Xenopus tropicalis: one gene and its partners. The protein of the gene in region 3 purifies or fractionates together with the protein of the main gene of each other region. This does not show direct contact. Links are inferred from orthologs where the notes say so. Each region holds a gene or a part of one and is shown on either strand. Other genes may lie near its edges. The genes, in order: prkaa2, prkaa1 and prkag2.

What was found.
Region 1: the proteins of prkag2 (region 3) and prkaa2 purify together in Homo sapiens (affinity purification with mass spectrometry; 5 studies listed by BioGRID and IntAct, counting the BioPlex papers as one, with this or other methods). This does not show direct contact. The link is inferred for Xenopus tropicalis from reciprocal best matches to the Homo sapiens genes PRKAG2 and PRKAA2.
Region 2: the proteins of prkag2 (region 3) and prkaa1 purify together in Homo sapiens (affinity purification with mass spectrometry; 8 studies listed by BioGRID and IntAct, counting the BioPlex papers as one, with this or other methods). This does not show direct contact. The link is inferred for Xenopus tropicalis from reciprocal best matches to the Homo sapiens genes PRKAG2 and PRKAA1.

Annotation. Positions count from the first base shown.
Region 1 is NC_030680.2:87,563,256-87,566,913, forward strand, and holds part of prkaa2 (5'-AMP-activated protein kinase catalytic subunit alpha-2), read right to left. Parts: intron 2,806-3,658; coding exon 2,679-2,805; intron 1,779-2,678; coding exon 1,543-1,778; 3' UTR 1-1,542. UniProt on the Homo sapiens protein: Catalytic subunit of AMP-activated protein kinase (AMPK), an energy sensor protein kinase that plays a key role in regulating cellular energy metabolism.
Region 2 is NC_030677.2:195,923,963-195,926,836, reverse strand, and holds the end of prkaa1 (5'-AMP-activated protein kinase catalytic subunit alpha-1), read right to left. Parts: intron 2,836-2,874; coding exon 2,709-2,835; intron 1,117-2,708; coding exon 872-1,116; 3' UTR 561-871; downstream 1-560. UniProt on the Homo sapiens protein: Catalytic subunit of AMP-activated protein kinase (AMPK), an energy sensor protein kinase that plays a key role in regulating cellular energy metabolism.
Region 3 is NC_030682.2:14,472,334-14,475,991, reverse strand, and holds part of prkag2 (5'-AMP-activated protein kinase subunit gamma-2), read left to right. Parts: intron 1-3,342; coding exon 3,343-3,452; intron 3,453-3,658. UniProt on the Homo sapiens protein: AMP/ATP-binding subunit of AMP-activated protein kinase (AMPK), an energy sensor protein kinase that plays a key role in regulating cellular energy metabolism.

The DNA of each region.
Region 1 (3,658 bases), on a different chromosome or scaffold from region 3:
CCAAGTATACTTTTTAGAATAAAACAGGTATAACGTCAGACTGATTCCTTACCATGTTGTTTACCTATCTATATATGTCAATACAAATTAGGGATGCACGGAATCCAGTTTTTAGGGTTCGGCCGAACCTCCGAATCCACCGCAAGGGATTCAGCCGAATACGGAACCGAATCCGAATTAGCATATACTAATTAGGACTTGGAAGGGCTAAATGAAGCTGCGCACTTCCACTTCCGTGTTACCATGACAAAAAGTCATGTGATTTTTAGGATTCGGATTTGGTTTGGCCAGGACCGTGGATTCGGTGCATCCTTAATAAAATCATCATTTTTTGTTCAGCAACAAACTGAGTTGACAGTACAGTGGAATTTCTCTCTTCTATCATAAAAGTTCATTTTCTCTTTGATGTGTTAAATAGCAATAGTGAGACATATAAAGTGCAGAATGCTCTATTTGAACAATAAATAATGGCATTTTGATTGGTGATCCTACATTCCTGCAAAAAAAATATAAAATATATACAGATAACATATCAGTGACAAAACAATGCACATAACATTTCATCTCTTGGCACAAGGAAGCTTTGTCTATAGAATTGTAACCTGGTGAACTCTTACCATCCCCTACAGCCATTTGTTGCTGTACTATTGGAGAGATGTAGGTTGGCCGTGCTGGGTCTGAGAGAAAAAACCCTCTTGTGCTCTAATTGCTACATAAATTCACATTACATTAAAGCTTAGACATGGAGGGTGTATATATATATAATTCCGTAAGGAAGAGCAGAAAAGCAAACAATGACCCTTGCTGATCAGTGAAACACTTTCAATTGTAAGCAACTACCCTACTTGCATTGTTGAACCAACCTCCACTTCCTGGCCAAGAACCTCCTGGAATTGCAGAGCAGCACCCATTGCACACCCTGCAACTGCAGTATCATTGCACATTCCCTATATTATTCTTTTTCAGAATAACCATATCAAAACAAGACAAAAGTGGCAATCGCTCGAAGCAGAACATAAAAAGTGATACAGTGAGTTATACATCAAAAGCAGCCTTTGTAACCTTTTACTGAATGGATGCTTAGTACATAAACATTACTTAATGAAATTAAGTTTACTTCAAATAGCTTCTTTCGTTTCTTAAACCTCTGTTATTTGCAGAATACAAATACTATTCAGTAAATTAAAAAAAGGCAATTTCATCTGTGTCAAATGAGAGTAATATTCTTATAAAAATAAAAGCTGCTTTTCATAACTCTACTACCATAATATCAAAATAAATATGTCATTTTCATTAATAAGTTAGCACACTAATAGTAACTAAAGAAGCTGTTTAGTATTATCAGTCTGCATCGTTCTATGTCACTTCCAATTCTGCAGTATAATTCAAATGATAAGGTACATTAAACAGCAGCTCTTTTAGGGTTTGTGGTGTCTAGGTGCTTAAAAGCTTGCACTGTACACAATGCCCAAGGCAAAAAAAATAGCATCAATTAAATATTCACAGTGCTCTCTAACAAAATGTGCAAATTCTCACTGCTTGTTAACGAGCCAGCGTTGTAATCAGACTGGCACACATTTCAAAGAAATCCATGGTATGGCTCCCCAAGCGAGGGTTAACTAAACTAAAACTGCCTGAGAAAGAGCCAAACAGAGGTCCACTTGGCGCTGAATAGTCTGATGTGCTCGAGTCAATACTCAGGCGTGGTCTGTGCAGGCCAGCTGCAGAGCAAGAACGTTGAGGGGTTGAAGAACCTGATTTTTGTTCCATGACTTCATCTGGAATACAAAGTTGCAACATGATTACAACGGTTTGCTCTGTATATTACATTGGAAGGTTTTAAAACCAGTTGTCAGGACCAACAAAGGGTGTAATTTTGTGAGATTAGCCCTACTTGTGGCCTAATGTAGTAAGTGGCGGGTTTTATATATATAACACACTGTGTTGTCCTTGGTTCTAACTGCTTCAGTGAGTGTGTTTTCTCACCTGTTCCAGTCCTGAATAATGGTTTGTTCCTGGCCACAAACCCTAACCTTGGCCTGTCCTTGACATTTTATCTGTCTCCCTTTTGTTGGAATCTTGCTTCTTGTTTTATTTTCCTCTGTCAGTCCCTGCCTTGTCAGTCAATGTGCCCTTCCTTGCTGTCACCCTCTGACTGTCCCTGTCTATCACCTTGTTTCCCTGTCTGAGGCTTCTTTTTGGCTGTCTCCCTCCTATGCTTCTGATCCTGCTCCAGCCTGTCTTTAGTTTATGCTCTTAGATTAAAATAATCACTTAAAATGTATGCTACCGGAATTGCTTAAAAAAGTTGTGGGTAAAAGGTTTATCAACATAAAAACTGAATAGCAAGTTTTCCTTTATTATACACAAATGGTGCACATGTGCCTGCATAATATAGTTTCAAGAGCAAAAATAAAAGCATTATGGTACCTATGCAGCACCCTTTCCTTGGCTGCTAAATCTGTTGCGCAACAACATATTTACTTTACTCATGTATAAAGATACAAGACTCCAGTAGTACTCTGGTTGCTCCTGAACTACAAATCCCAGGAACCACTGAAGGCTGAAAGTTGTCAGGGGCTGGTTGGAGTTACAGTTAAGTAACAGCAGGAGAGCTAAAGGCTGTCACAGTCCTAATAAGAATCACTAGGCCTTTATAAAAGGGATTTCTGTCTTACCGTCAATACTTTTGAAGTCCAAAAGGTAACTGCGATTATCAACCTGGTAGAGCTGCAGACTCATTTTCACATAAGTACCAGTCACTGGATTCTTTCTTCTCACACGGAGATGATAAGGGTTAACTACCTAAGGTACCAAGGATTTGGTTAGACTCGCAGCTTTGTTTAAAGGAAAACTATACCACCTAAATGAATACTTAACCAACAAATAATTTATATCATATTAAGTGGCCTAATAAAGACTCTTATCAAATTGGAATATATATCAGTAAATATTTCACTTTTACATCTGTTATCTCATTGCCATCTTTTCCCTCAGAGATCACCTGACGGTAAATACCGTATATACTCGAGTATGAGCCGAGTTTTTCAGCACCAAAAATGTGCTGAAAAACTAACCCTCGGCTTATACTCGAGTATATGGATTCGAAGATGGAACGAGCTTGTTGTGTGCACCCCCCCCCCCCGAGGATGGACGCTTGCACGCGGGGGGGGGGGGGGGGGATTGCGCACAACAAGCTCGTTCCATCTTCGAATCCATATACCACTTCTGCGACAGTGTTCTACAATCTGCTGCTCAGCTCCTGCCTCAGGACACAATGCACTAGGTATTAGGTATTTGACTTAACTCTTCCTACAGACAGTTAGACAGCATTCCTGTGTTAAGCTGAGCTTCCCTGATCTGGTTGTCTACCTGCCATATACTGTACATCCAGATGGTTGGGCAATATGCTCAAAATTAGTCTTGGTCCAATCAAATATAAGCACCTATGGCCAGCTTAACTGAAGCACTCTGGCTTTATACGTGGCTGGAACTTTGTCATTAGGCATTAGTTTACCTGCATTAGGTTACCTGTGTAGCACAATGGGCCATATTTACCATTTTTTCCTCCCTTGGCCCTTCACAGTGCAGATATGATGATCCATTGCTAGTCAGCCAGCCTTTCTGTGATAGTTTAACTCTTTAAAAAGAGAGGGAT
Region 2 (2,874 bases), on a different chromosome or scaffold from region 3:
TGTAGGTGCTGGCCCGACCAGTCTGTCAAATTTTAAAAGTCAATGTGGCCCCTGACCCTAAGTTTGCCCACCCCTGGTCTAGCTCCACTGGTAGGCCAGTCTGATCCGACCACTTTCTATGCAATGGGACAATTATCCCAATTTGTAATATAGATTACATTCCAAGCGCTATGTCATTTGTAAATCAGCCATGGGAGAGCATCGAGGGCTTGGACCTCTAGCTTTGAGGTTGCAAAGGAAGCTAAACAGCTTAGGAACAATAAACAGCCAATGGATTGTTCTAACGTCCCCATATATTAGTGAAAGTTACATGTAAATAATAGCTAGCCATAAAGTACATACATGAGTCCTTATCCTTAAAAAAAAAAAAAAAAAAATCCTTTTTTTATTATATATTTGTACAAATTGCCTTTTGATATCCACATTTACTGCCCTTATTCACCAGACTGATCTATCCCAGTGGAGTTTAAGCTGCAGAATTATGGCCGGCATGCTTAAACCACTAAATTATCATGTGATCACTTCTATGTATTTCACAAGACAAGAAAAAAAATAACAAATTTAAGACAAGATGTTGAGGTTTATCTTGGGAATATGCAAAGTAGCCCAGTGCTCGATAAAATGTGCAATTAAAACTTTTGTCAACCTGAAAAATATATACAATTTATATGCGTTGACAAGGAACTATTAAAAATAATGATCACACTACGGATTGAGGTCTAACATAGTCTTGGAATCGTATGTGCAAATTGCATTGTGACAAGAGCTTTCAGCTGTTGGTCGGTCATAACTGGATTGAGACTGGAAGCATTTGGCTACAGATCACTGCATGCTTATTGCTCGATATGGATTCGCTTATGTTGCCGGAGGCCTATCGTGCAAGGATTTTTATTAAATTTGCACACATTTCAAAAAATTCTATGGTATGGCTTCCTGGCCTGGGGACTAGGTCGGCATTGGAAGAGTCCACTGATGAGGTTAAAGATGAAGGCCCTGAGCCGTCTGAAGACTTCGCTTGAATTTCAGGATCCGAGTCATTTTTTGGAGGTCGATAATTGCTAATGGAGCCTGATCGCCTAGGGGTGGCGCTTTCCGACTTGGCCTCAGTTACTTCATCTGAAAAGAACAATAGGCTTAATTATTTCCAGCAATTTATGGTGTAAAATGTATGTTGTTACTAGAATTATCTGTTATTTATAGAGTGCAGGATATATAGTGACAATTAATCTGTATATTTTTAGAGTGGGAGGAGACCATGAACTGGCCCCTACAGGATTTTCACACCTGCCACATATCAGGCTGATTTTTGGTCATATACTGGTCAGGTATGCCTGTTGGAGAGTCCTATACATGCGCAGATAAGATGCCAACCTGGCCTGAAGTGGTCGAATCAGCAGCTTCAATCTGCCCATGTATGTTCACCTTCAGACTCCCATTATCATAATGTGGTGAGCAGAATGCTACAATAGTAGTCCATGTCCCTCTGCTCCTAAATGTCTCCCTGCTTCCAGCTTTGTTAAATAGTAATAAAAGCAAAAAAATTTAATTGTGCCTTTCTTTTAGCACTTTCACCTTAACCCGATTGTTTCAGCTGGGGGAGCAGATTTGCGCTATAGGATAATGAGAAGGTAGCTGTCCACCTATAATGGAGATGCTACTGCTTCTATTCAGAGCTGGTAAGTTTTCTGTGATTGCTGAAGGCCACTTAATATATAAATTGCAATTTGCTCAATGTAAGGTTGAAGGGAGTTGCTGCTAGCAGCAGACAGGCCACACAATAGTATACTAGGAACTACTGTTGGAGGCTGTTATACACAGCAGAAAATGGCCGAATAAAAGTTCTGGAATGAGATCTAACAGCTGATATTGGGACACAGTAAAGCAGGCCACACACTGAATGATCTGGGGCTGATCTGCTAGTTTAACGTCGGGGATACAGGCCATTGGGGCAAGGACACCCATCAATGACCAGATACGGTCATCGCCCCAACAAGATTTTTTTAAACCCGTCTGATGAATATGTGCCCAATTTTTGCTGGATAAGCAAGACAGAGTGCCTCATACATGGGCAGATAAGGTGCCACTAGGAATGAAGGATCTGAATAGGAAGCCAAAATCTGCGCTGTGTGTGGCCATCTTAATTACAGCTTGGAGGAAAGTTGCAGCTCCACTAAACACTGTGAGCAGGAGCATTCTGACACAGTTTGATAGGGCTGGGAGCAGAGAGACAATGGCAGGACTCGGGCTGCTGCAGCAAAGTTCTGATTGTCACTCACAGTTATGACCATATCCTGGGAAGGAAGGAAAGGGCAAGCCCAGGTCTCACTTCATCTCTAATATTATAGCATTTTTAAGAAAAACAGTTTAAAACCATGTTTCTGGGGCACTAATCATTTAAAATAAGGTAAAATATAATACTAGGACATGAGGCTCCTTTAACACTGACGTGAACAAACATTACTGTTAGTGAGGTAATACATAAGCTACTGCATGAAGTACAATTTCAGAGGTAGAGTGCCATTCTGGGTTTAGACAAAGGCCCTTAAGTAATTAATATAAACAACTGACGGAAATGATGGGAACCCAGAGTTTTATTGCTGCGACTGCCTCTGTGACAGGCTGGTAGAAGGTAATAAAAACCATAAAAGGCATCAGCAGCCAAACATTTGGCATTACTATTCCGAAAGTAGCACAGAAATGTCACATACCGTCAATGCTGCGGAAATCCAGCAGGTAAGTTCTGCTATCCACTTGGTACAGCTGGAGGCTCATCTTAGTGTACATGCTAGTAACGGGATTCTTCCTTCTTACGCGCAGGTAGTATGGATTTACAACCTCAATATGGGAAAAATAATAAGGGAAATTAGTCTCTTG
Region 3 (3,658 bases):
CCTTAGCCAGTCGGAACAGTCTCAGGGGCTGCTGGGATTTGCATCAGAGAAGAAAATCTGTCGGAATATTTGGAGCAGAAATGAAATGGGTGTCACTGAGAGACTTTTACTTAACAGATGGCGGAATCTGTCTCGGCGCGGTGATAGCGGCACAGCTTGCCTCTCGGTACACTGCATTCCCATTCCTCTGCTTCATCTGCTCATTAATAACCAGCCCGGGGATACAGCCACACACTCTCAGCCCCATATGGGTGCTCCGTGTTGGGCGCAGTAACGGTCTGGGCGCTTTGGACCCATGTTCTTCAAATAATGGCTTCATAGGGTTAAAGAAAAATTAAGACATATGAATGCTATCCAGAGGCTTAAGGGCTTACTTACGGGGCTACTAAGAACCAAAAAGGGAAATTAAATAGATTGTTTCCATCTGGCCAACCTCTGCTAATGTGCAGAACTCTTGGCAGCAACAGCCTTGTTCAATGTATTGGGTCACCGGCCAACCCAGAAATGCACTGGCCGCACTGGCCGCGCTCCCTGACCCAGACAATTTGTGGATGTGGGTAGTTAGCTTGTATACTGATCACCAGTGGGGACAGTTGGTCAGCGATGGCTATTGCCATTGCCAACTTCTTCTTGGATGGTTTGTTGCAGCTGTACAGAAATGGCCCCATCATCCAAATACATGGAGGCCCGTATTATCTGATCATTTCCTCTGTCTGAAACCCTCTGCTGCAGGGGATTAAACTGCAATGGCTGAATCCTCCTCTTTTTTAAAAATCACATTCCCATCAGTCCCTGCCCCAGTGAGCTTACAATCTAAGGTCCCTATCACATTCCCATCAGTCCCTGCCCCAGTGGAGCTTACAATCTAAGGCCCCTATCCCATTCCCATCAGTCCCTGCCCCAGTGGAGCTTACAATCTAAGGTCCCTATCACATTCCCATCAGCCCCTGCCCCAGTGGAGCTTACAATCTAAGGTCCCTATCACATTCCCATCAGTCCCTGCCCCAGTGAGCTTACAATCTAAGGCCCCTATCACATTCCCATCAGTCCCTGCCCCAGTGGAGCTTACAATCTAAGGTCCCTATCACATTCCCATCAGTCCCTGCCCCAGTGGAGCTTACAATCTAAGGTCCCTATCCCATTCCCATCAGTCCCTGCCCCAGTGAGCTTACAATCTAAGGTCCCTATCACATTCCCATCAGCCCCTGCCCCAGTGGAGCTTACAATCTAAGGTCCCTATCACATTCCCATCAGTCCCTGCCCCAGTGAGCTTACAATCTAAGGTCCCTATCACATTCCCATCAGTCCCTGCCCCAGTGGAGCTTACAATCTAAGGTCCCTATCACATTCCCATCAGTCCCTGCCCCAGTGGAGCTTACAATCTAAGGCCCCTATCACATTCCCATCAGTCCCTGCCCCAGTGAGCTTACAATCTAAGGTCCCTATCACATTCCCATCAGCCCCTGCCCCAGTGGAGCTTACAATCTAAGGTCCCTAAGGCATTGTCGGAAGTAATGCCATTCAAACACAAAGGGGGGGGGGGACGGGGAAATGAACGTGTTGCATCTTTTGCACAGGTGCCAGGTTGTGACTATATTGGACTATTGTGTGCAGGTTGCATTGGGTGCATCTTTGGGTACGCCTGAAATTATGGCGGGGATATAGCACTTTTTAGACATTTTCCCCCCTTCTCTTGCAGTCGGTGTAGCAGAGGGGGTTGTTCAGATGACACAGGACTGACAGGGCTCAGTTCTTATTGTCCCTGGGCCAAGGCTGGTGACTTTTAATGTCTAAGGATAATCAGTATAAAGTGGCTTTATGGCTAATGAGGGTTTGTGCATCCTGTACGGATCAGCATGTGCAAATGGATCCTTGGGCTTTCTGACTCTCTAACTCCCCGTATCAGCAGCTAGCCCTGTGCTGTATTCATGCAGAGACAGTACGGAGTGTTCCATTCCTGAGCACAGCATTATGGGAAGGGCAGGGGGGAAGCTACAGGGTAGAGGAGAGGGTCATTCGGCAGCACTATCCTTTATTTATATAGCACCAACATGTTCCATCAGCCCCTGCCCCAGTGGAGCTTACAATCTAAGGTCCCTATCACATTCCCATCAGTCCCTGCCCCAGTGGAGCTTACAATCTAAAGTCCCTATCACATTCCCATCAGTCCCTGCCCCAGTGGAGCTTACAATCTAAGGGCCCTATCACATTCCCATCAGTCCCTGCCCCAGTGGAGCTTACAATCTAAGGTCCCTATCACATTCCCATCAGTCCCTGCCCCAGTGGAGCTTACAATCTAAGGTCCCTATCACATTCCCATCAGTCCCTGCCCCAGTGAGCTTACAATCTAAGGTCCCTATCACATTCCCATCAGTCCCTGCCCCAGTGGAGCTTACAATCTAAGGTCCCTATCACATTCCCATCAGTCCCTGCCCCAGTGAGCTTACAATCTAAGGTCCCTATCACATTCCAATCAGTGCCTGCCCCAGTGGAGCTTACAATCTAAGGTCCCTATCACATTCCCATCAGTCCCTGCCCCAGTGAGCTTACAATCTAAGGTCCCTATCACATTCCCATCAGTCCCTGCCCCAGTGAGCTTACAATCTAAGGTCCCTATCACATTCCAATCAGTGCCTGCCCCAGTGGAGCTTACAATCTAAGGTCCCTATCACATTCCCATCAGTGCCTGCCCCAGTGAGCTTACAATCTAAGGTCCCTATCACATTCCCATCAGTGCCTGCCCCAGTGAGCTTACAATCTAAGGTCCCTATCACATTCCCATCAGCCCCTGCCCCAGTGAGCTTACAATCTAAGGTCCCTATCACATTCCCATCAGCCCCTGCCCCAGTGAGCTTACAATCTAAGGTCCCTATCACATTCCCATCAGTCCCTGCCCCAGTGAGCTTACAATCTAAGGTCCCTATCATATTCACACACACTTGAGGGGCAATTTTATCAGGAGCCAATTAACCTGCCTGTGTGTATTTGGAGTGTGAGTGTAACATTATGGATGACTACAGGTATTAAATATGAATTCATATTTTTACATTGTATGTACACAGTGCAACCCCTCTCATATTAATGTCAGAGCAGGAGCTGCCATATTGCTTGCCCACCTGATGTCAGCTTTGCATTTATTTGTTTTAAAGAACATTGAGAATGTTGTATATTAAGGTAGGCAATATGGCAGCCGCCTTTATGCTCTTGTGTGTCAAGGCTGAAAGTAGAAGAGAAAGCTTGCTCATAAAATAGATTTAATTTCCTGGGTGAAAACATATATTAGCCAAGGTTTGCTTCTAGAGTGACTAAATGCTAATACCCATGATGCTTTGTCTTTCGCAGCTGTTGAAGAATCAGAAAGTGACATATATACGCGCTTCATGAAATCCCACAAGTGTTACGACATTGTCCCAACCAGCTCCAAACTCGTTGTATTCGACACTACGTTACAAGTAAGTGCAGCCGCCCGTGTTTGCTCCATATTACCTATATTACAAGTATCCAGTTATAGTTAGGGACATACCATCCAGGATTCAGTTGGGTAGCTGGAAAGTCGGCCTCTCCCTGGTATGTATTACTGTATATTTATATTCTGACTTTCCTCCTGTCACCAGAGCCGGCTGCCTCTCATATCCAGTTACGTGCCGCCGTCGTATCA